Alligator mississippiensis: one gene and its partners. The protein of the gene in region 2 binds, or shares a complex with, the protein of the main gene of each other region. Links are inferred from orthologs where the notes say so. Each region holds a gene or a part of one and is shown on either strand. Other genes may lie near its edges.

Region 1 (7,823 bases), on a different chromosome or scaffold from region 2:
ACAGACAAGAGAGTAATATAAAAGAAAATGAACCGACCTGTAATGAGAAGGTCTCTGATAAAAGAGCTATTCCTCCTAACGTTTTAGAAAGTGAAATTGGAAATTCAATGACCAAGTAAAACACACGAAGGCCCCAATCTTGCTAAGAATTACAAACATGCTTATAACAACACGTTCTTTGAGGTAAGTGATAATGCTGATGCCAGTTATCCATCACTTTCGTTCTGCTAGTCAGAGCACGTAAAGTTAGGCACGCCGTTTGGGGCCTAAGCTGTTAGCCCTCAGACCTGTGATATCTTTCATGCACAATTTCAGCCTTCACATGGTTAAACACCTAGCCCTCTAAAAAGATTAGACTGGGGACTAAACATTTAGATAAGCCTGGAAAAAAGTTTAGAAGGAGTAGCAAACATTTGTTGATTCACAAACAATAAACACTAGAGTAATTTCCCTGACTAGGTCAATATATTTGCATACCGTGCACAAATGTAAAAACTGCCTGATGCTGTAGCACTCGAGGAGCATCTTTCACATACTCAGTGGTCAGGAAATGATTACAATATGCTGAAACATTCTGCAAGAAGACAGAGCAGTCAGCTATGCAGGCTGCACAACATAAATACAGTACATATACCGCTTGAGGTAGCCTAGTCACAAGACAAACACACCTGAATGGACGATGAATACTGTCTGTTACCATGGCAGCCTGATCTAATTACATGACTGATCAGGGCTAGAGTAAGTGCACTGAAAACCTACACCACTGACATGTATCTACATGATGACAGAGAGATAGACAGGCAAGAGTTGAAGAAAACCTATCAACCTTTGCCTTACATAAACGGCGATAATAAAGCCAGCCTTTTCTAAGAATTGCTGCCTGTAAAATATTGGACCATTTTTTTATTTTTATTTTTTATATATGCATGTATGTTTGGAGACAATGAGACAAAATTGTAAGCTGTTCTAAGAAGACACCTTGCTGCATCTCACCAAAAAAAAAAAAAAGCTACGGCATATTTTTTTTCTCTCACCCTCAATTTTCTCCCCCTCATTCATAATCCTTTTTCCAGGTTATAAAACTGAACTGTCTTCACCATCCAAAGCAACATAACTACATTAACATGCTATCTGAATTTTGCAGTAGCTAAAGGTCTGGGTTGGAAACTGAAATGAAAAGCCCTCGACTTACCTAATATATAATCAAAGTAACCGGCTATGCCAGACCATGTCTGACATGCAGCCTACCCCTGCTGCATAAAATAGATAGCAGGGATCCTTACGTTTTAAGGAGAACCTGCATGACGACATACGGATGTCTTCATGCCACCAAATATAAAAAGGCTTTGGAGAACTAAGGTCATCTGCCTCCCGCATTTCTTATTTGCTCATAAAGGGCAGGCGGAAGGGACAGTGGTTTTTTTACACTGCATTTCTAACCCAGGCGTTCATCAGAAGGCTTCTCTTTTTCATTTTTTCATTTTTTTTTTACTGATTATATCCGGAGTCCAGCCTCACCCAGGGGGGGCCAAAGAGTGGCTCCCCCCCCCCGAAAACTTGCTGCCTGCAAGAGTCCCCATTGCCCTGCGTAGGGTAAACAGAAATAAAAATAGCTCAGCCTTCTCCTTATATAATGCGCTGGGAGGAGAGGGAGGTTTTCTCTCCCGTGTTTCCTCTTCAGCGACTGCTCCCCATCCCCGCTCACATCCCAACAGGCCTCACTCTGGTCATAATAATGATAACACTAATACTACTACTACTAATAATAATGCGATGGTTATTATTCCCCCCCCATCAGCCTCATCACTTCTGGTGGGAGCTGGACTTGACAAGGCTGGAGGGGGGGGTGTTATTTTGGAGGTGGTTTGCAGGGCAGCCGGCTCCCAAGGGCCCGGGCAGGCGGCCGGGCCGGACCGGACCGGGCGGCCGGGGGGGGCGCTGTGAGGGCCCCGGAGCGCCGCGCCCAGCCCCAGGCCGTGGAGCGGGGCAGCCAGGCCTGCCCTGACCCCGGCCCCGCGCCAGCCGGTGCCTGCAGCCGGCCTGCGCACGGGCCCGGAGCGGGAAGGCTACTGCTGCTGCCGCCGCCGGCCGCCTCCCGCGCCGCTCGCTTCATTCGCCCCCCCTACTACGGCCCGGCCTTGCAACTCAGACCCCTCCCCCACGAGCACCCCCCCCCGGCCCCGGCCCTCCTGCACCCCGCCTGGCACGGCACAGCACAGCACAGCACAGCAAGCGGGTGCAGGGACTGCCCCCAGGGCATCACAAAGCCCTTTCGCCCAGGGGCTGCGCGGCGAGGGAGGGAGGGAGGGAGCAGGAGCCCCGGGTGCAGGAGGGACAGGGTAGGAGATTCCCCCCCGCGCATGCACAGCAAGGGGGGGGGGGGGTGCAGGGGATCACAAAGCCCTTGTGCCCACAAGCTGGCATGCAGGGGAGGGGGGCAGGAGCCTGGGTACAGGAGGGACAGGGTAGGACCCCTTCTCCCCCTAGCAGACGGGGTGCAGTGCGTGCCCCCAGGGGATCACAAAGCCTTTGTGCCCAAGAGCAGGGGAGGGGGCAGGAGGGACAGCGTAAGAGATCCCTTCTCCTTCCCCCCCAACCCTTGCATGCACAGCAAGGGGGGGGGTGCAATGATCCCCCCCACACACACTCCCAGGGGATCACAAAGCCCTTGTGCCCAAAAGCAAGGAAGGGACAGGGTAGAAGATCCCTCCCCCCGTGTTTTTTTTTTCCAGCTGCAGGGAAGGAGGAAGGGGGAGGGGGAGGCAAAAGCAGAGGAGAAATAAAAAACCACTTACTGTAAAGTGTCACTGGAGGAGGGGCGGGGGGAGGCAGCAGCACCCAGCCGGGCCGGGCCGGGCGTGGGGGTGCTGCAGCGGGGCTGGCTCCTCCGGGCTCCTTCCTTCCTTCCTTCCCCCGCGGCGGGAGTGAGTGAGTGACACGCGGGTCCCGGCTGCCCCCAGCGCCGTAGTAGATGCAGGGATGTCTGCGGTACGAGGCTGCTCCGCTCCCCGGTATGTCAGTGTGTAAGCGAAGCCAAATATGGAGCAGTTGGCTGCCTCTGCAACAGCTCAAGGATCCGACTTCATGCACAAGGCAGGGAGGGAGGAGGGGAGGGGAGGGGAGGGAGGAGGAGGAGGTGGAGGCAAGGCAACACTTTGGCAGGCGGCCAAAGAGAGCCACACATTACAGCATACGCACAGCAGAGCCGAGCCAAACCGGCCTTAACCCTTTGCAGGGCTCCTCCGGCCTCTGCCAGGCCAGCTCTGCTCGCTGGCCTTGGGTTAGGGATGCACGGAGAAGGAAGCGCCTTGTGGGTGTCTGGTAGAAATCAGAGGGAAGTCAGGCTGGAAAAGACCTCCAGAGGTCATCAGGTCCGACCCGCTGCCGGATGCGCTGTCAGCCCTAGCCAAACCATCCCTACAGCCCTCATCTGAACTCTGCAGAAGTCTACACCCAACCCTGACTCAACAGAGACCTAACCCCGACCCTGCCACAGGTAAAGCAGGGGAACCACGGCAGCACACATCCTGCTTCTATACAACCCTGTCAATACTTACCTGGCAGGAGAAACACCATGTATCTGAGTCCCTGAAGACAGTTTTCCTTGAGCGCTTGGAGGATAAGCGCTCTTCTGGTGTGGTTTAGTACCTGCCAAGGTGTTTGGGCTTTAAGTCCATTTCATGGAAAGGGGAGGTTCCTCCCTAGCTTGCTCCTGCAGCCATATGGCTGAGGGCAAGTGAAACTCAGGCATCCCCAAGTTGGATGCCTGCCAAAAGATGTTGGAAACATCTGATGTTCCTGGTATGGGTAGAGGACGTTTGCTGGTTGTAGGGCCACTTATGGTTCTGGACTGACTCACGGATTTGGACTTGATTTGGCTTGGAACATGACAATTTCTTTAAATATATATACATGCTCAAGGGGCCTGTGTCTGGCCAGCAATCTGGTTTGATCTCCAAGGTGCTCGTCCTGTGGAGCTGGACCATCCTACTCACTCCCAACCCCAGGGGTCTCTGAGGATGGCCAGCATTCCTGTGGCTAGCTAGAGGCTGCCTTGGGGAAGCTGCCTTGTCCTGGCCACCATCCCTCCTGGACATGGTGGAGATCAGCTGGTCTCACCTAGGCTGGGATTCCTCCCCCCGACTCCTCACCCCCCAGGCCTGTGAGATAGGTGCCTGCCTGAAGGTGCCTGACAGAGGGATGCCCTAAGGAAGCAGAAGCCAAAGCCTGCCTCTCTTCTCCTAGGAAATCCTGCTTAACATGCTTTGTACAGGGGCCAATCCTATTAGCAGGGTCTACTTTGTTTCTGCCCATGGTACTTGCTCCCTGATCAAGGCTTTGATGACTTTTACTCATGTCCTTCATTAAACCTCAAGAAAGGCCTAGTCAGACTAGGTAAATATAGATACTAATGGCCCTCTGGACACCCTAATACAGTGGAGTCCAGTCTTTTTTGGCAAGCGTGTCACAGATTAGCCCCAAAACCTCCCCAAAGGGCACTCTGATCTCCTTTCTCTGATCTATCTGCTGCTCTGCTTTCTGCCCTGGGCTTCTGCTGGATCTGTTGCTTTTTCTGCTGCCTGCCCCATCTGCTGCATTGCTTCCTGTCCTATCTGCCACTGTGCTGCCTGAGTCCTCCCCAGTCTGCCATGTGTCATACACAGGCTGCCCTAATTTATTCCAGGTATGTGCAAGTGTAGTACTCTGTGTCAACAGTGCACAGGTCTGTTTAGGTGTCACCGCCTTGATTATACCTGCTCTGAGGCTAAGACACTCCCAATTATTGCCTTGGGAAAAATGACTTACTTCTCCATTGTGGTTCAGCTTCCACTAGTTACTGTCCTGTGTTCCCCTGGAGGAGGACCTTGGGTCTCAGCGGCTCCATTACAGAAGGTCAGGGTGACAGGAGAGTGACACCCTTGGAGGCAAGAAAGAGTCCAAGAAAATGTCCTGTCTCAGAGACCTCTGGACTGGCTCCAGTTTCCTAGAAGACAACACAGAAGAGAACAAACCATTATCTTAGTAGCCAAAAAAAGGGGAGAACAAAATTGAAACTGAAGAGGGTACTGGGGAAGTGAAAGCACATCATAAAATCAAGTGCTGTTCCTCCTAAAGCACCAAAGCCCAATGCTGGCCATGCTTGTTGTATTACCTACTAACCTACTAGGTCCTGGTAGGGCCTGGCAGTGAGTCCAGAAGAAGTTTTTGACTGCCACAGCATTAGCAAGTGAGAGGACACAGCACAGAGTAACCCTTGTTCTTTATTATGCACAAGCATCTTCTGAGGCAAAAGTAACCACAGTGGGAACACGCACAAATGCCCTATGTATGCTATAGACATAATGACACCTGCTCTAAGGAGAGATGTGCTGAACATTGTAGCATATGTACAATGCCTCATAACCCTTGGCAACACTTAAAAGAGGTTCTAATTTGGACCGAACATACTGCATTTCCTCCAAACAGGATAACTCGTGTGGCCATTCTGTACTGTCACTACTTGCACCAGTTCACTCACACCAGTGCAGGATCTCAAATGGCACTTTTTTAGTTTAGATGCCCCTCAGGTGTCAGTGAAGCATTTCTATAACTTAGAAATATATTACTCACTAAAGAGCAAATGTAAACAATGTTGTAAGCTGCCAAGGTTTTGACCTATAGGAAACAACAATCTAGTATAGGCTTATGAAGAATTAGGTTCTTTTATTGTTGCAACGTCTAAACCTTTAGTTAAGGTCTGCACAAAAGGATGGCATTCTCTGCTTTCTGAGTGCTTTGGGGACAGAAACAAGCCTAGGCATTTGGAGACATGCAACTCAGCATCACAGGGTAGCCAATCTGCAACAGCAAAGCAGACCTCAGTAGCATCCTCTCCCAGCTTATGCAAGTTTAATTAATGTAATCAAAGAAAGGACGAGAAGGTGAATTACTGAAAACCACGTAAAAGTGCTAGTGATGATGCAACACCTTAATCTGGGTTCAGCTCAACACACACTGCATTCTCTCCCCGTCACCTTGTTACTTCTGTACTTCAGAGAGTTACCTCAGTAGAAAGGAATCTCTTCCTTCGGAGATGTTCGCCTTGCCAACAGGTGTGGCACATACGGAGAAAGAGAAGCCACATTCATGCTGAAGCAAGCTTTGGACAACTTTCCCCTTTGCAACAGATTAACACTGCTCATTCTTCCATTCTCTGGCTGTGAAGTTTGCCATACTTTGCCATGGAATAATGTTTTTCAAAATGTAAGCTTTATCTATAGTTCTAGACCTCACAGTTAAGAAGAACCCCTTTAAAATGTAAAACTGAATATAAACAGATGCAGCATGGAGTTCCTGGGTTTACAAACAATTTGACTAGGGCTGACAAAAGATTTTAAAAAATCATAGCAATTAATTGCAAGATTAAAAAAAATAGTCGCAATTAATCGCACAGTTAAACAACAGCCAGTACCTCCTCACCACCCGAGCCTGCGTACCCTGCGGGTGGTTCCTCTGTGCCACCACCAACAGCACACAGCCCCAGCCTCGACCCTGGCCCAGACCGTGCCTGCTACAGACTCTCCCCAGCTGGAGTGGACCAGCCAGAACCTATGCAAACAGCCCCATCCCTGGCCTGCCTCATGCCTGCTCCAGATTCACCTGCCCACATTGAGCAGCAGCAACAGCCAGGCAGAAGCTGCTGCTCAGCAAGGAGGAAAAGAGGCCCCTTACCGTCACTGCTGCTGAGCCCATCTTGCTGCAGCTGCCTGAAGCCCACACCTGGGTTGCCCTGTGGCTTCTCTGCATTGCCACCACTGGGCAGCCCGGAGGTGGCAGTGATGGCAGCAGAGAGAAGCTGCAGGGCAGCCCAGGTGTGGGCTCTGGGTGGCTGCAGCAAGAAGGCCCCAGCAGTGATTAGGAGGGGCATTTTCTTCCATGCCAGCTAGCAGCTTCTGCCTGGCCACTGCTACTGCTGCCACTGCTCAGCGTGGGCAGGTGTGTCTGGAGCAGGTTTGGAGTGGGCTGGGGACAGGGCTGTGCACATGGGTCCCAGCTGGTCTGGCGCTGGTCCACTCCACTGGTCAAAATGATGTGTGCGATTAACACGATTGAAAAAAGTAATGCATTAATTTGTTTTTCCATTAATCACTTAAGTTAACTGTGATTAATTGACAGTCCTAAATTTGACACACAATTTTTGGAGTTGCTACAAACCCAAACTGCCTCCATATGGGCAAAAAATTCCACCTAGTTCTACTTTAATTAATTGCTACTCTTCCAGCTTCTTCTAGCACAGAGTAAGGACAAATATATGGTGTCAGCACAAAACCCTTTGGCAGATCAGGAACCAAAAACATGCAGACATCTTAGAATAAATAAAACAACACAGCCTGCTTCATCTACTGGATTTTTATATTTGATTACAGAAATTACTTTTAGAAAAGCTACAGCAAAGGTTTTAGATTCCACAACATCCAGGAACTTTGCCTCAGAGCACAGATCCAACTTGCCATTGAAGACAAGAGACCTGATTAATACTGAAGAGGTGGGGCACATAATGTGACCTTTTCCAAAGAAGGGAGGCACAGGGCCCAATCCTTTTAGCCTTTGGTTAGGTAAGGTGTCCTATTGATTTAAACTGGGAGATTTGACAAAACAAGGCATGCAGGACTAAGCCCTATGAGGGGAGGAGTCATTTGTTTCAGAAAATAAGCATACACAGTAACCAGGATGAAGACCTCCTCTGGCAAAATGGAATTTCCTGCAATAAGAATAAAACTCATTTGGGCAGGAGACAGATCCTTCTCTGGGGTAGCTCAAAACAGTAGAATGAACTCCCACCA
Region 2 (7,013 bases):
AGGCCAAAGAGTGGTGAGGGCGAGGGTGAGGGCGCGGGCGAGAAGGGCGACTGGTTGGAGCCGGGCGAGAAGGAAGGGGTGCCTGAGCGTGAACTGCCCAGCGACACCAGCATAACAGCTGCCTCGCACTCGTCCAGCTCGAAGCGCGACAGGTCAGTGGGTGCCAGGCGGGGCCGTGAGTCGCCCCGTGCGCTGCTGGCCTCACTGTCCCGCGACGTGTCATCCCAGTCGAACTCAGCGCTGCCCTCGCGCAGGCCACTGCCTCGCCCACTGCCTTCCAGCCCCTCCAGCTCCTTGGTGCGCATGGAGAGGTGGCGCGAGCAGTATCCACGTCGCTGCGACTCCTTCATGCAGCCCTCGCGCGAGCACAGGCGCCGCCACTGCTTCCCATTGAACTTCTTACGGATGCCGTTGGGTGTGCATACCACATCACCCTTCTTGTATTTCTGCTGCGCCGCAGTCAATGGCGTGCGGCGCCCTGGGCCCGGCCCCGGTGGCCCTGGTGCGGCACCCTTCTCCCCGGATAGCCCGCTGCTGCTGCGGCTGCCGCCTGCCTCAGCACCGCTGGGTGGCGACGGTGCCTCAGGCAGGCGGGGCAGCCCCGGTGACTTGGGGGGCGAGAGCGGGCGCAGGATGGGGGCCGGCGGCTCGCCTGCACCCGCGCTGATCTTGGAGACCTCGGCGTCCTCAGGCTGCTTGGCCTCAGGACCGGGTGCCTCATCTTCCACCTCACCTGCCGGCTTCTCAGGCTCAGCACGGGCCCAGGGTGGGCGCAGCAGGCGCAGGCCAGAGCGCGGGACCCAGGCTGAGTCGCGGCGCGGGCTGGGGCTGGGGCCAGGTGACAACCCGAACCGCACCTTGTAGGAGGCTGGCTTGATGCTCACCTCCACCACAGTGCCCTCGCGGTAGGCCGTCTCACCTGGGTCCACACAAGCGCACACGGGCGTGCCCACGACCACAGCGCCTGGTGGGGGCGTGGCGTCCAGGACCACATCTGGGGCCCCGGCACTCAGTGCCCCCTCATAGTAGGTCACAGCCCGGTCACCGCCAAACTGTACACCCAGGTCCTGCCCGCGTCGGATCTGCTTGACCACGGCGGGCTGGAAGAGCCCATCGCGCCGGGCCAACACCCGCTGGGAGCGCAGCTGGTGCAGGTCATAGGGTGCGGGTTGAGGCGTTGGGCCCCAGGGCTGTGCCACCGGCCCTGCTTTCGCCTCCTCATCAGCCGAGTGCTCGCTGGCTGTGTCCGTGCTGGATGAGGGGCACCGGCCCCCAGGCTCATCCTCCGGGGGGGCAGCTGAGCCCTCACTGCCACTCCAGTCCTCACCAGGCCCCACCGCTTTGCGCCGTGGCGTGCGGGCCTTGAAGGCAGCTGTCTTGCGGTTGGGGGAGGGCTCCCCGTCGGGCCCTGGCGCCCCCTCTGCCTCGGGGGCCTCTACAGGTGGGCCCAGGGTGGGCTCCATGGTGCAGCGGGCTCCGGGGAAGACAGGTGGCTGGTCAGGAGCGTCCTCGCTGCCCCCGCCCTCCTCTTCCTCCTCCAGCCTCGGGCCCCCCTCAGCCGGGCGGCGCCGCTGGGCCTTAGCTCGGGTGGAGGGGGGAGAGTGGCTGCCACTGCCTGTGCTGGACGCGGGTGAGGAGCTGGCAGCCTTCCTCGCCGCGGGTTTCATCTTCCTCTCACCAGGCCAGGCAGAGACTCAGGGACCTGCGGGGAGCAGGGGTCAGATTTCCAGGCACCCCTGCTGTCCTGCCAGTGCCCCGCACTCCCAACCTGTAGCCCCTGTCCCCTCAAGGCCCACCCCCAGCCCAGCCCAGCCCAGCCCCTGCACTGCCCTGGCCCCTGTTCTCCAGCCCAGCCCCAAAGCCACCCACAGCCAAGGGGGCCACGTCCCCAAGGACTGGCCCCCAGCCCACCCTACCCCAACACCCCGGGGCTGACACAGCAATGCCCCCCATCCCATAATACACCCCACTTCCAGGCATCACCCACCCTCCACCGCACACAATCGTGGTAGGGCCCAAGGCCTGCTACACCCCCAGAACTTCGCTTGGCACCAGCGTGCCCCCGCCCCCTGCTTTGGGGTGGTTGGTACGGCCCAGCTCTCACCCCATATCTGGGAGGGTAGACTCTCCTGACCCACCAACTTTGGGAGACAAGACCTCTCTATTCACCCCCGCCCTGGAAGCAGTGGCACCTCCCGGCACGCCCATTGTGGGGGTGATGGTAGCTCCCACTCCCCACTCTTGGCGGGGTGACAAGGACTTCCCCCCACCAACCTTTCCGAGCGAAATGGTACAGCCGACCCCCCAGCTGTGGCACAACCCAGCCCTGGGGCCGCCCCCCCGTTACCTGCCCCCCCGGCACAGGGGATGGTGCGGCCCGGCCCCCCCTGCCCGCGGGATGGTGCGGCCCAGCCCCACTCGGCCGCCCCGAGCCCCTTTTACTCCAGCAGACAAAATGGTGAATGAATCCGGACCAGCTGGACACACTGGCCAATGGGAGCCCACAACCACCTGACGGGCGGCGGTGCCGCCCAATAGAAGCCGGGCCTGGCCCGTGTAAGCCCCGCCTCCCACAACAGACAGCCGCGCAGGCCAATGGGCCCCGGGGACGGGGCGGGCGCTGCGCGGGGCCGGTGCTCCCAGCTCCGATAGACGCTTACAGTAGCCAATGAGGGCGTGGGGAGCGCGGTGCCGGGGAGGTGCCGAGCTTACAGTAGCGAATGGCGGCGCAGCTGGGGCGGGGCCCGGCGGGGCCCGGCCTTGTTTACCTGGCTCTGCGCGAGGCGGAAGCGCGCGGCCCTCGCGGGGGCTGCTGGGAAGCGAAGTCCGCTCAAGGGGGCTCCCGGCAGGCCCCGCGCGCAAAGCCTCACGGGATTTGTAGTCGTCCCCCCCCACGGCCGGGGCAGAAACTCTACGGAGAAGTCGCTCACCCCCGCGGAGCCCTCATTTGCATGCGATTTGCATCTCATTAGCATATGCATGAGCTCACCCCCCCGGCAGCCGCGGCCGGTCCCGCGTCGGCCCCTCGCGCTTCCCCTCAGCAACAGCGGAGCCGCCGCGGCCAATCAGCACCCGGCCCCGCCCCCCCGGGCGCGTGCCCCACGTGGGGGCCCTGGGCGTGGCCCGCTGCGGCCAATGGGACCCCGGGGCGGCCGAGGGATGAGGTCACCGCTGCGCGCGCCCATTGGCCGGAGCAGCCGGCCAATCAGGGCGGGACCGGAACGGGGTGAGCGGAGGGGGGAGCGGGGGGACACGCTGGAGCCGCTCGCCACGCCCCCTGCCCTGGCCCCACCTCTGCCTTGGCCCCGCCCCCTGTCCCCATGCTGTGAGCTTCCTCCAGCAGTGCCCTGTGCTGGCTTTAATGCTGTGAGCTTCCCCCAGCCCTGCCTTGAGCTGTCCCCATGCTGTGAGCTCCCCCAAGGCTGTGAGCTTCCCCCAGCCCTGCCCTGAGCTGTCCCCATGCTGTGACCTTTCTCCAGAAGTGCTGTGAGCTCCCTCAAGGCTGTGAGCTCCCCAATGCTGTGAGCTTCCCCCAGCTCTGTACCTGGGGACCGCCCCCACACATGCCCTGAGTTTGCCTGCAGCAGTGTCTGGACCCCAGGCTGGTGGGCAGCCTGCTGTGAGGACGTGACCCTGGCCTGCTCCTCACCAGGCCCAGGCCCCGGGCCCCTTCCTGCCTCGGAGCCTGCCCTGACCTGCCCTGTGCAGTGCCCATGCCTGCGCCCGTGCCCACGGCTTGGCTGGTGCGAGAAGGCAGAGCCAAGGCGGGACCTGTGGAGATTTTGCCGCTGATTTAGCACTGGTGGCTAATTTTGGGCAGGTCCAGGCCTCCCCTCCCACCTCCAAGTGGCTGTAGGGGGGTCCTGGACACCTGGTTCTCTCCTCCCTGGCAGGGCAGTGGGGTGAGGATACCTGGGTCCTCTCTGCTCCCTGGGAGGATGAGAGCAGGGGTGCTGGGAGCCCAGATGCCTGCGTTCTCTAGGGCCCAGAGAGTGAGAGCAGGGGGTTTGGGAGCTGAGATGCTTGGGCTCTCGGGGGGGGGGGGGCCTGGGTTCTCTCCAGCTCTGGGAGAGGAATGAGGGTGGGGCCCAGACGTTGTGGCTCCAGCCCCCCCCCTGCCCCCCCCCGTTTCTCCTTGTGGAGCCAGGACCCTGCAGCTTCCCTGTGGCTTTGCCCCCAGCGCTGTAAGCTTCCCCGCAGTGGTGCCCTGCTGAGGCCAGGGCCCCCAGGGCCTGGGGACCCAGGGGTGGGGGTCGCTAATGCATCCTACCAGCCGCAAACTTCCCGCCGATAATTATAGCCGATCACGCTGCATTATTTATAAGGCTCCTATTTATAGCAGGGCCAGAACCGGCGGCACCAGCCCTGCCCCCCCACCCCCGGGCACAGGGAAGGGGGGGGCACCCCGGCGGGGGGGGTGATGTCACCCCTTCACTCACCCCCCTTTCCCCCCAGGTAGGATGTTCGGTCAGGACTGGTCCCCAGGGAGCTGGCATGTCGGCACGGCCTGGAGGCCACCAAGTGAGAGCCATGGGCATGAGGGCAGGGGGGTGTTGCAAGGGGCCATGTGGGCATGCAAGGCCAGGACTGCACCTGGATCAGGGACCCAGGCATCTGGCTCCTAGCCCCCCCCCCCCCCCCCAAACCTGGAGAGAACCCAGACATCCAAGCCCCTGGCACCCCTTGGTTTGCTCGGCCTGCTCTTGCATCAGACGGGTGCATGTATGCACACACGCATGCGAGGAGCATTAGTAGTTTGTGGCTAAATGAAGCATCGTAAACAAACACCTAATTACTACCCCAGGGCCCAGAGTCGGGGGGGGGGGGGGGGGGCGGGGGGGATCCCTGGGGGCACAATGCACAGCATGGCAGAGAGGGGCCCAGCCCCACACATGCGCATGCATGTGCAGGAGATACAGATCTGAAGATGTGTGGGGTGCCGTGCTGTGCACATGCACATGTACCCAAGTGCGTGCAAGTGGCCGCACACACGGGGGAGATGTGTACCATACTGTGCCCTCCAGGGCACATGCAGGGCCTAGACACTGTCCCAGGGATGTGCAAAGAGCCGCAGGCACGGGGTTGCAGGTGTGACACGTGCTCGCAGCACGTGCAGTGGATGGAGAGACCGACCTGGGTCTGGCAACATGCACATAGTGCCCAGAACAGGCAAATACATGTGAAGACCCAGGTGTCTAACATGCATGTGTGCACGCGCACACAGACGCATGCACAGAACCCAGGTGTCTGGGGCAGACAGACACATGCACACGGGCAACCCATGTGTTTAGGGCATATGCACAGAACCCAGGTATCTGGGCACAGATGCACACAAAAGCATTTCATAGGACTCAGGTATCTGGGGCACACCAGCGCACACTTACATGCACACACACATATGCAGAATCCAGGCACCCAGGGCACATGTCCATATAGGACCCAGGAATCCAGGACATGCATGAACACGCGAGCCAGGCATGGAGAATGCTCGCACGCGAGTATTAGGGATGCGCTTGTGTGCTTGCACACGCAGAACCCAGGCACCTAGGATGCCCCCCTGCAAATCTCCAAGCATGGGGCTGTGTCTGTGCGCGTGCATTTGTGTTGGCACAACCATTCTGGGCACACGGGTGCCCTTGCACATAGGCCATGGCAGCTCCACACATGAAGACACGGGCGTTTTGGTGCGACACAATCACATGCATGGGGACATGGCACCAGGGTGGGGTCACAGAACGCTCACACGTTGCCTGCCCCTCATACTCGGCATGTTGCACACACGTGCCCTGGCCCCTTGAGCCGCCCCGGCCCATAAGGCCTCACACCTGTGACACAGGCCTCACACGCGTGCCTTTGCAGGCGTGGCTGTGCATGCTCTCCAGAGCCCACCCCGCCGGCCACCATCCTGGGCCTGGCTGAGGGCGGGAACCCCCGACCTGCTCCCCGCCCCACTCCACAGGCCTCTGCACCGCCCCAGCCCCAGCCTGGACCTGCCGCATTCCTGCGGCCTGCCCGCGCCTGCCCGCCCGCCCCGAGGCGCCTGCAGGGTGCCCCCGCCGGTGCCCCTCGCTCCCGACCCTACGTCCTGGTACCCCCCACTCCCGACCTGCAACCCCCACTCGCCCCGCCCTGGGCCCCTCACTCTCGACCCACCCCCCCAGCGCAGCGCCCCCTGCCGGCTGCCCCTCGCTTCCCGCGCGGGCCCTTTAAGCAGCCCTCCCCCCACAGCGCGGGCGGGGCCGGGGCGGGGCGGAGGCGGGGCCGCGGGGGGCGGGCCCAGTGTCCATGGCGACGCGGCGGTGACGTGTGCGGGGGGGCGTGGGCGGCCCGGTGCATATGAGCGCGGGGCGGGGGGGTGGGGGGGGCCGAGCCCGCGGCGGCGGCAGCGCAGGAGCCATGAAGACCCCTGCGGACGCAGGTGCGGACTGCGGGGGGGGGGCACCTAGGGGGGGCGGAAGTTTTTTTGGGGGAGGAGGGAAGACTTGTTGCTTTCCCCCAAGTCCTTGCGGGGGGGGGCTGCCACGTTGCCGGGGGGAGCTGCTCTCTGCCCCCTCTGTATTGGGGGGGTCGTGGGGGGGGTACCTGAGAGTCCAAGAAGAACTTGTTGTTCCCGACCCACGCGGCACCTTTAAGGGGGGGGGCTCCGCCCCCCCCCCACGGGGCCACGTGACACGCGGGGGGCCGGGAGGGGGGACCCCCCCGGCGCCAGCGATTGTATGTGGGATGCGGGCGTTTGGGAGTGCCCCGCCCCCTCGGCTCCCCCCCCCACACAGCCCCCCCACCAAACTTTTCCCAACTCCGAGACGGGGCAAGAAAATGGCAGGGGGGGGCACGGCCCGCGGGGGGGCACGCGGGTGCACGCACACAAAGGGGACTCAGGGGCGCACACACTCTTCAGTGCCCCCCTGCACTGTCCCGGGGGTCTCGGCCCCCCATAGACTCGTGTGTCTTTAAGGGGGGGCACGTGCCCCCCCACTCACTTCTGCGTGCCCCCCCCCCCGTTTCCCTGGGGG
Region 3 (7,469 bases), on a different chromosome or scaffold from region 2:
GAAGCAGGTAACCTGGCCCAGCGGTGGCGTCTGACCCTACCAGCTCACTCTGCCATTACCCCCAGTCTCTTTGCAGAACCTCTGATGACCTGTCACAAACCCTAGGGTTCTGCAGAGCACAGACTGAAAACCATTGCCCTTGGGGACTAGACAATCTCCCTAGCTTTTCTTTTAGGTGATTTATATACTGCCCTCTGATAGAGTTCATATGGAATTCTAGGCAAGTGGCATAAACCAGAACTGTAATAGCACATTTTCTGTGGCTTCAATGGGAGACATCTGGAATGCAATTTGCAGAAGTGCTAAGCCTCACAGCTGTGAGTGAAGTCAGCAGAAGCTGGATAGTGAACAAAAATGGTGCTACAAAACACTGGAATCCTCAAATTTGGCACCCAATCATGTTGACACTTTTTACTTTTCTGGTGGCTTCTAGCCTGAAACATTATTTGGTTAAAAATAATTCTTATCATACTTCACAAGGGCATGGTGAAGATACATTTAGTACTGTCTGTGAGAACCAAGATACTCTGATGCAGCATCTTTGAAAAGCTTGTAAGGAAATTTACAAATCTGTTTTCAGTGAAGATTTTGGATGGTGCACAGTAAACAGTGCAGAAAACTGCATGTTGTGCCATAAGGTTAAAAAGAAATACTGAATTTTTATTCCTGTTCCTATTCTTGAATTCCATCTAGAAATTTCCTGGGTCATCAGATCCAGTCCCTGGCTTCCACAAGCAACCACATCACACAATCCCTTTCATAAGTGCCATCTTAAAAACAGTTAGGATTTTTTTGCCCCAGTACTCCTATTAGGCTATTCCAAAACTTCACTGTTCTGTTCAGAAACCTGATTTCCAGCCTAAATTGATTAATGACCACTTCATATCAGTTTGTCCTTGTGCCCTGCTGTCCTGTAGTTTAAGTAGTTCTTTTCTGTCCCTGGTGTTTGCTTTCCTGATGTGTTCAGAACAATCATTTCCCTGCTAGGCCTTTGTTTTGCTAGGATAAACAAGCTAAGTACTCGTTAGTTTCCTTTTGTGAAGGCAACACATTCAGTGAGGGCTATTCCTCCTGTGCACCATGGGTAGAAATAGAGAGAGTATGTGCTCATCATGTTGGTAAAACTGTCTTGGAATTCAGACACACAAGGAGACTGAATTACTCCAAATGGGCCATGTTAAGACTTGGGCCTAATTTCAAGTAGCTAATCTTCAATCTTAGCCCAAATACTAGATCAAGAATATCACATGATGAACAATACAACATTTGGGAACTTCAAAACCTCTCTAGTGAAGAATTCCGTCAGTTTATGCAGCAACTTTGCAAAGCACTAACTAGGGTAATTAGTCCCTGGGCCTGCAAGCATGTATTTGCACCACCCTTGGTGTAGATTAGAAGCCTTCCTTTATTTTGAATAAGATGATAAAGCATAACTACATTGTCTCCTTACCTCTCCATCTTAGGATCATGCTATACCAATGCCTGTCTAGAATCAACTATAAGAAGGTAAAGTGGATTTGCATCTTATAGACTAACCAAAGAAAAATATGTCCATATAGATATAGCTCTTTGGATAGTCTATAAGGATGTGTTCAGAAGTTGCTTTTTTACCATTTAAAGAGCTTTATTGTTGTGACTTAACAGCAGTGCATGACTTTACAGCACTTTAAAAATGGGTAGAGCCCTTTAAATTAACCCTTGTTAAATGAGATAGTAAATTTGAAGCACAGTATTTTACAGCACTTTAGCAACCTACAGCACTTTAAATAACTTCTGTACTCTGGTCAACTTTCTGACTAATGGAGAAGCCCCAGGAAGCTCAGAGCCCCACCTCCCCAACACTACACTTCTGTCATATTTAAAGGTGCTGTAACTTTTTAGTCCTATAAAAAGTGCTTTAAATTAAAACCTATATGGAGCACTTCTATACACACCCTAAGGTGCAAATTTAGCCTGCCTTCTACTTGACTTCAGGATAACATAGATAACTGTCTCTAGAACCAACTATGCCAAAGCAGGTCCATCAGGGACACCCAAGTTGTATTTTATAACATATATGCAAGACTGGGGGCATCAGCTGCCATAATTAAATTCTGGATGGATGATACTTTATTACTCTTGATTTAAGTGTATGAGCCTGAAATGCCAGTCTTTATCTACTGATCCTGGCAACCTCTTGAATATTAATTCCAGGTGAAACCCATAGAATAAAGATTTTGATTCTTACTCAAGCCAAATGTAGGACTTCTTTCTGCCCTGTCTTCCCTAGCCCATTACCAATGGGATCAAAGAAACCTAAATCAGTACAACCAGGCACTCTGTCACCCAGTCTCTTTATCCCAAGTGCACAGTAAATGTTGCTTTATCTTCTTGGCCATCCTAGAATGGCCCCTGAAGAAATTCAGCTGAGAAAGTTAAAAGCTCTTCTGGCCTAGTAATTCCTGTCTCCTAGTCCACAGATGGAAAATAACCCTTCCAGTTCCTGTCATTAGGTAATGAAATGGAAGAATTTTTCCCATCCCTTTTCCAGCCTTTCGTAATCTTGACCTGCAGGAAACCTCTCTCACTCCAGACTCAGTGAACAGGGCCAAACTCCATCCATCCTGACAATCTCACCCTCCCCACAAGGTTGTGTTTTAACTCATAGCATCATCCCTGTACTACTTGAAATGGGATGACTGGTGACACAGCCTGGCACTTAGAACAGTCTGCTTGTCTCCATTTACTGTGTGGGTCTCTTCCCTTGGTCAAGGGAGAAGGATAAACCTATCCACATAAGTCTCATCCTTCTTAAAACACCTGAAAGACCTAAACAGCTCCACTCAGTCTTGCCCATAGCCGCCACATCCCAGAGTGGGGCCAGGATCTAAAGAGGGTGAGGTTCCTTACTGCTATGTGGAATCTGCCAGTGGGCAGGCTAGGCTTCAGAGAGACCTAGACAAATTGGAGTATTGGACTAAAATAAATTTCACAAAGTCCAATAAGGACAAGTGCTAAGTCCTGCATTTAGGATGGAAAAATCCCATGCACTGGTACAGGCTGAAGGCTGACTGGGTGGGCAGCAGCTCTGCAGAAAGGACCTGGGGGTTACAATGAACAATGAGCTGAATACGAGCCAGCCGTGTGCCCTTGTTGCCAAGAAAGCTAACGGCATAGTCAGCTGCATTAGTAGGTGTGCTGCCATTAGGTCAAGGGAAATGATTATTCCCCTCTATTCAGCACTGGTGAGGCCACATCTGGACTACTGTGTTCAGTTTTGGGCCTCCCACTACAGAAAGGATGTGGACAAATTGGAGTCCAGTGGGAGGCAAGAAAAATGGTTCAGGGGCTGGGGCACGACTTCTGAGGAGAGGCTGAGGGAACTGGGATTATCTAGTCTGCGGAAGATTTAATGGTTTATAAATAGGGGGCGGATTTAATAGCAGCCTTCAACTACCTGAAGGAAAGTTTCCAAAGGGGATAGAGCTGGACTGCTCTCAGTGGTGGTAGATTGCAGAACAAGGAGCAACGGTCTCAAGTTGCAGCAAGGGAAGTTTAGGTTAGATGTTAGGATGAAATTTCTCGGGAGGAGGGTGGTGAAGCACTGGAACAGGTTCACCAGCGAGGTGGTGGAGTCTCCATCCTTGGGGGTTTTGAAAATCCAGCTAAACAAAGGCTTGCCTGGGATGAGGCAGTTGGGGCTGGCCCTGCGCTGAGCAGGGGTTGCACTAGACCAGCCTTTGTCAACCTGGTCCCAGGAATATGTGAAAGGATCAGGAAAAAAAAATTAAAAAATGGATCAAAAAATGGATCCTCCTTCAAAAACGTGGGAAACCGCGGCATTTCCCTGGCAGAGCTGCAGCTGCAAGGGGCTGCTTGGGGGCCCCCTGGCCCACACACTGGGGGACGCGGGTCGGCACTGCCCATCGCTGTTTGCCAATGGGGCCTGGTACAAAAAATGTAGAGAACGGCTGGTCTCTTCCACCCAAATTATGACTCCGTGACCGCTCCTGCCCGTCCTCTCCCGCTGTGCACCCAGCACCCGCCCCGCCGGAGCTGTCCCTCCCTGTGCTGCACCCTGCACCCCCCGCGCATGCGCAGCGCCCAGCCGCAGCACGAGCCGCCCCCGGCCGCGCCCCCGCCAGTCTTATGCCGCGACCAGCGCCGGCTGCCGGGGAGGGCGGGGGGTTGTAGCAGCATCACCATGGCGACAGTGACGTCAGCTCACCCTGGATCTCATTGGAGGAAACCCCGTGGCCCCAGCCGCAGCCCACGGGCCAACCGAGCTTGCGCCCGGCCTGCGCCCGCCCCCGCCGCGGCGCGCTGCACTCCGATTGGCCGGCTGAGCCGCGGGGGGGCGGGGCCCGAGCCGGAGCCGGCCCTCCCATTGGCCGCGCGGGCGCGGGGCTGGCAGCGGGGAGGTGAGGCCGTGCCAACGCCCTTTAGCGCTGGCTCTAGTCTGAGACGGGAGCGGCTCTTTCTCTCCGCCACCGCCCGAGCGCAGCGCAGCGCGGCCCGCCCGCTCCTGGCGCCAGCCGGCCCGGCCCCGCGCAGCCGCTCCAGGTGAGTCCGGCCCGACCCGGCCGTTGGGAGCGGGAGCGCCCCCCCCATCCCATCCCCCCCCCGCGCCGCGCCCTCCATTTTGTGCCGCGCGTGCGGAGTCTCCGGGGCCGCGGGCGCGGGAGCTGCCTCCACGCCGCCATTTCGCGCCGGCGCGGGGTCTTCCCCTCATGTTCCCTCGTGGGGGGGCCGGGCGGCCGAGCCCCCGCCATGCGGACACACGCGGCGGGGCAGGGAGGGGCGGGGGGAAAGGAGGGAGGGGCCCGACTTCCCGCCCGCCCGCCTAACCCGCGCCTCCCCCCGCAGGAGCTGAGGCGCGTTGTCCCGCGGACGGTGTCGTAGCTGAGGCTCCCTCGCCCCTGCCCACCCACCTGCCCGCCACCATGGACAAGACCGACTTGATCCAGAAAGCCAAGCTGGCCGAGCAGGCCGAGCGCTACGACGATATGGCCACCTGCATGAAGTCGGTGACCGAGCAGGGTGCCGAGCTGTCCAACGAGGAACGCAACCTGCTGTCCGTGGCCTACAAGAACGTGGTGGGCGGGCGGCGCTCAGCCTGGAGGGTCATTTCCAGCATCGAGCAGAAGACGGACACCAGCGACAAAAAGATGCAGCTCATCAAGGACTATCGGGAGAAGGTGGAGGCCGAGCTCCGGTCCATCTGCACCACCGTGCTGGTGAGTTTGGGGCGCCGCTTGCTACGGGTTGGGTTGGGGGGAGTGGTCCAGAGGTGGGTGTCATGTACTGGGGGGCCCTGCCTGAACAATGCAGTAAACCTGTCAGACCCAGGGGTGTGAGGAGGGGAGATGAGCTGCATTGCACTCTGACACGTGTGTGTGTGGGGGGGGGGGTTCATGAGAGCCACATGCAAGGCACCGACTGGATCAGGGATGGCAGGGGGATTGGAGCTTAGGTGTGCCTGTGCCTTTGTATTGGTAATCTTCTGGGTGGGTAAAGGAAGACCGGGAAACTATTCTCCTTCCCCTTTTGGTATGGGGTTGATGGTCTGTGAGCACCCGGAAGGCTGGGTGTGGTACCCAAACTGCTGCAGGGTGCTGCACTAGCAGTTACGGAAAAGAGATGGAAGAGTAGAAGACTTAAATGAAGCATGACTGCTCTGTGGGGGGGTCGTGAAGTAAAATATGTGGTATGTGGCACACAGCTTCTTAATTGAAGACATCAATGCAAATCTGCAGAAAACTGGCTGTTGTCACGTGCAGGTATCCTCTTCGCATTGCTTTGTTCCATGGATGCAGTAATAGTGGAATAATGTGGAAGTTGAAAAGGTCTGGAGCCTGAGAGAGGCTGTGGATGAGCGTACAGATGCCAGGAATAGCTGTCTGGCTCCTTGAACAGTGCACTAGACTTTTCTTTTTTGCTGGTGCTAATATGCTGCATTGTGGTAGGGGCTGAATTTGTGTCAGCAGTGCGGAAGGCGCACCGCCCTGTCATATACAATCAATGTAAGTTCTGGCTGCACAAAACTAGATGTGTAATGCAGTTTAGAGTTTGTAGCAGATAACCTTGACCACTTCATTAGCACTAAAATAATAGCGGCTAGTACTGTAGGTATGTTAGGACAGGAAGAGGTGAATAGCAAATTCTTAGAAAAAAAAAAAGAAACAAAAAAGAAAATTACTATTTAATAAATCATTAACACTGCCTAAATAGTGCTAGGAGACCTATATTTAAAGCTAACCATCTCAATAATAATTGAAAATCAAATTAAGTCAGGAGTTCCAGTTCGCTGACAAGGTGCCCCTTTCTAGATTTGTCCTGAAAATATCCATGTGCTTTAGTCTGCGCTTCCTCTTAGACCAATTTTAATTCAGGAAGAAAATTTTAATGCCACAAAGCATTCTTCAGATGCCAAGTTAATAGTTTCATCTTCTGCAATTATAGGCATAGTTAAACTTGTTAAATCTTTACCTTTTTTTTAATAATACCTCAACTCATGTGAAGCATGGGTTTAGACTGATTCTTGTTTCATGTGACAGAATTCCAATCGGAATAGTGTTGTGTTGCCAACATTTGTACTACTAGTGTTCCTCTTGATTTTTATCTTCCTCTCTGTGAACTGGTCTAGCTAGCCATCAGTTTCTTAGGACTTGTGCACACAACCAGTTTTTCAGACTTCTTAAAATGTCCCTCATGCCTGCTTCTGTCAAACTGAATTCTCAAGAGGGGAGGTTACATGCATTTAAACCATTTTCAGTGTTCTAGTTGCTATGTCATATTAACAGAAGACACTCTGCTGCTCTTAGGAGTTCGGGTTGCTCTAGAAGTGAGCAGCAGCGAGCCATTTTAGCCCTTGCAGGCTAAAATTACTCCAGTTTTGGCAACTGGTGATGAGCAATTGGTGTAGCCACACTAATGAAACTCCTAATATGGGGGGGAAGAGGGGAACAATCTTACTTGCCCTGGCTGAGCTTACCCCACTACTGCTGCATTTTTTATTTTTATTTTTTTGTTTCTTGCTGCACTCAGCTGAGGCTTGGCTGGCAGCTGCCTGCTCTCACAGGGCCCCTAAGACTGCAGGAAATAGGGAAGACTGAAACCTATGAAGTGACATGCTTTTCCTGTTCCACAATCAAAGATATGCATCTTCCTGTAGTGGGAGGGGGTGTCTGCTTTCTACTGCATGAACTGAAACTGCTGCTTTCCCTCCCAGCACCATCTGCAGTCCCCCATTCTGTTCCTCTTTCCCTTTCTTCTTGTCTGCCACTACTCTGCTCCATGAGTCAGCAACAGAGAGATTGAAACTGTCATTGTAAAGAACAAATTTTCCAGTGCTTACACATTAAACAGAGCAGCAGCAAAAAGTGCTCTCAAGAGCTGCCCTCTGCTCACCAAAATTTTAATTTGTTTAAAAGTAAACTGTTATCCATAGACTATTACCAGGGTAGGAATTGTAGCTAAATCTCAAATAG

The links.
Region 1: the proteins of CIC (region 2) and ATXN1 are in contact, whole or in part, in an NMR structure (PDB 2M41), measured with the Homo sapiens proteins. The link is inferred for Alligator mississippiensis from reciprocal best matches to the Homo sapiens genes CIC and ATXN1. Residues at the interface, in NP_001291744.1 of Homo sapiens: Val943, Phe944, Pro945, Trp946, His947, Ser948, Leu949, Val950, Pro951, Phe952, Leu953, Ala954, Ser956, Gln957; in NP_000323.2 of Homo sapiens: Pro572, Tyr573, Phe574, Ser578, Ile579, Ile580, Gln581, Leu582, Ala583, Leu587, Val590, Leu593, Phe598, Ser601, Ala602, Leu608, Asp611, Ser613, Phe631, Val633, Ala638, Gln639, Val640, Val642, Tyr648, Pro649, Phe650, Phe651, Trp657, Ile683.
Region 3: the proteins of CIC (region 2) and YWHAQ are in contact, whole or in part, in a crystal structure (PDB 6KZG), measured with the Homo sapiens proteins. The link is inferred for Alligator mississippiensis from reciprocal best matches to the Homo sapiens genes CIC and YWHAQ. Residues at the interface, in NP_001291744.1 of Homo sapiens: Arg1207, Ser1208, Met1209, Ser1210, Glu1211, Thr1212, Gly1213, Thr1214; in NP_006817.1 of Homo sapiens: Lys49, Arg56, Lys120, Arg127, Tyr128, Gly169, Leu172, Asn173, Val176, Tyr179, Glu180, Leu216, Ile217, Leu220, Asp223, Asn224, Leu227, Trp228.

Annotation. Positions count from the first base shown.
Region 1 is NC_081826.1:129,980,077-129,987,899, forward strand, and holds the start of ATXN1 (ataxin-1), read right to left. Parts: upstream 3,098-7,823; 5' UTR 2,796-3,097; intron 1,953-2,795; exon of another isoform or gene 478-1,952; intron 1-477. UniProt on the Homo sapiens protein: Chromatin-binding factor that repress Notch signaling in the absence of Notch intracellular domain by acting as a CBF1 corepressor. Binds to the HEY promoter and might assist, along with NCOR2, RBPJ-mediated repression. Binds RNA in vitro.
Region 2 is NC_081838.1:30,783,395-30,790,407, reverse strand, and holds the start of CIC (protein capicua homolog), read right to left. Parts: upstream 3,072-7,013; 5' UTR 2,990-3,071; intron 2,449-2,989; exon of another isoform or gene 2,348-2,448; intron 2,178-2,347; exon of another isoform or gene 2,105-2,177; intron 1,703-2,104; 5' UTR 1,668-1,702; coding exon 1-1,667. Other genes in the region: ETS domain-containing transcription factor ERF, read left to right, coding at 6,337-6,418. UniProt on the Homo sapiens protein: Transcriptional repressor which plays a role in development of the central nervous system (CNS). In concert with ATXN1 and ATXN1L, involved in brain development.
Region 3 is NC_081824.1:31,109,899-31,117,367, forward strand, and holds the start of YWHAQ (14-3-3 protein theta), read left to right. Parts: upstream 1-4,429; 5' UTR 4,430-4,542; intron 4,543-4,845; 5' UTR 4,846-4,922; coding exon 4,923-5,216; intron 5,217-7,469. UniProt on the Homo sapiens protein: Adapter protein implicated in the regulation of a large spectrum of both general and specialized signaling pathways. Binds to a large number of partners, usually by recognition of a phosphoserine or phosphothreonine motif.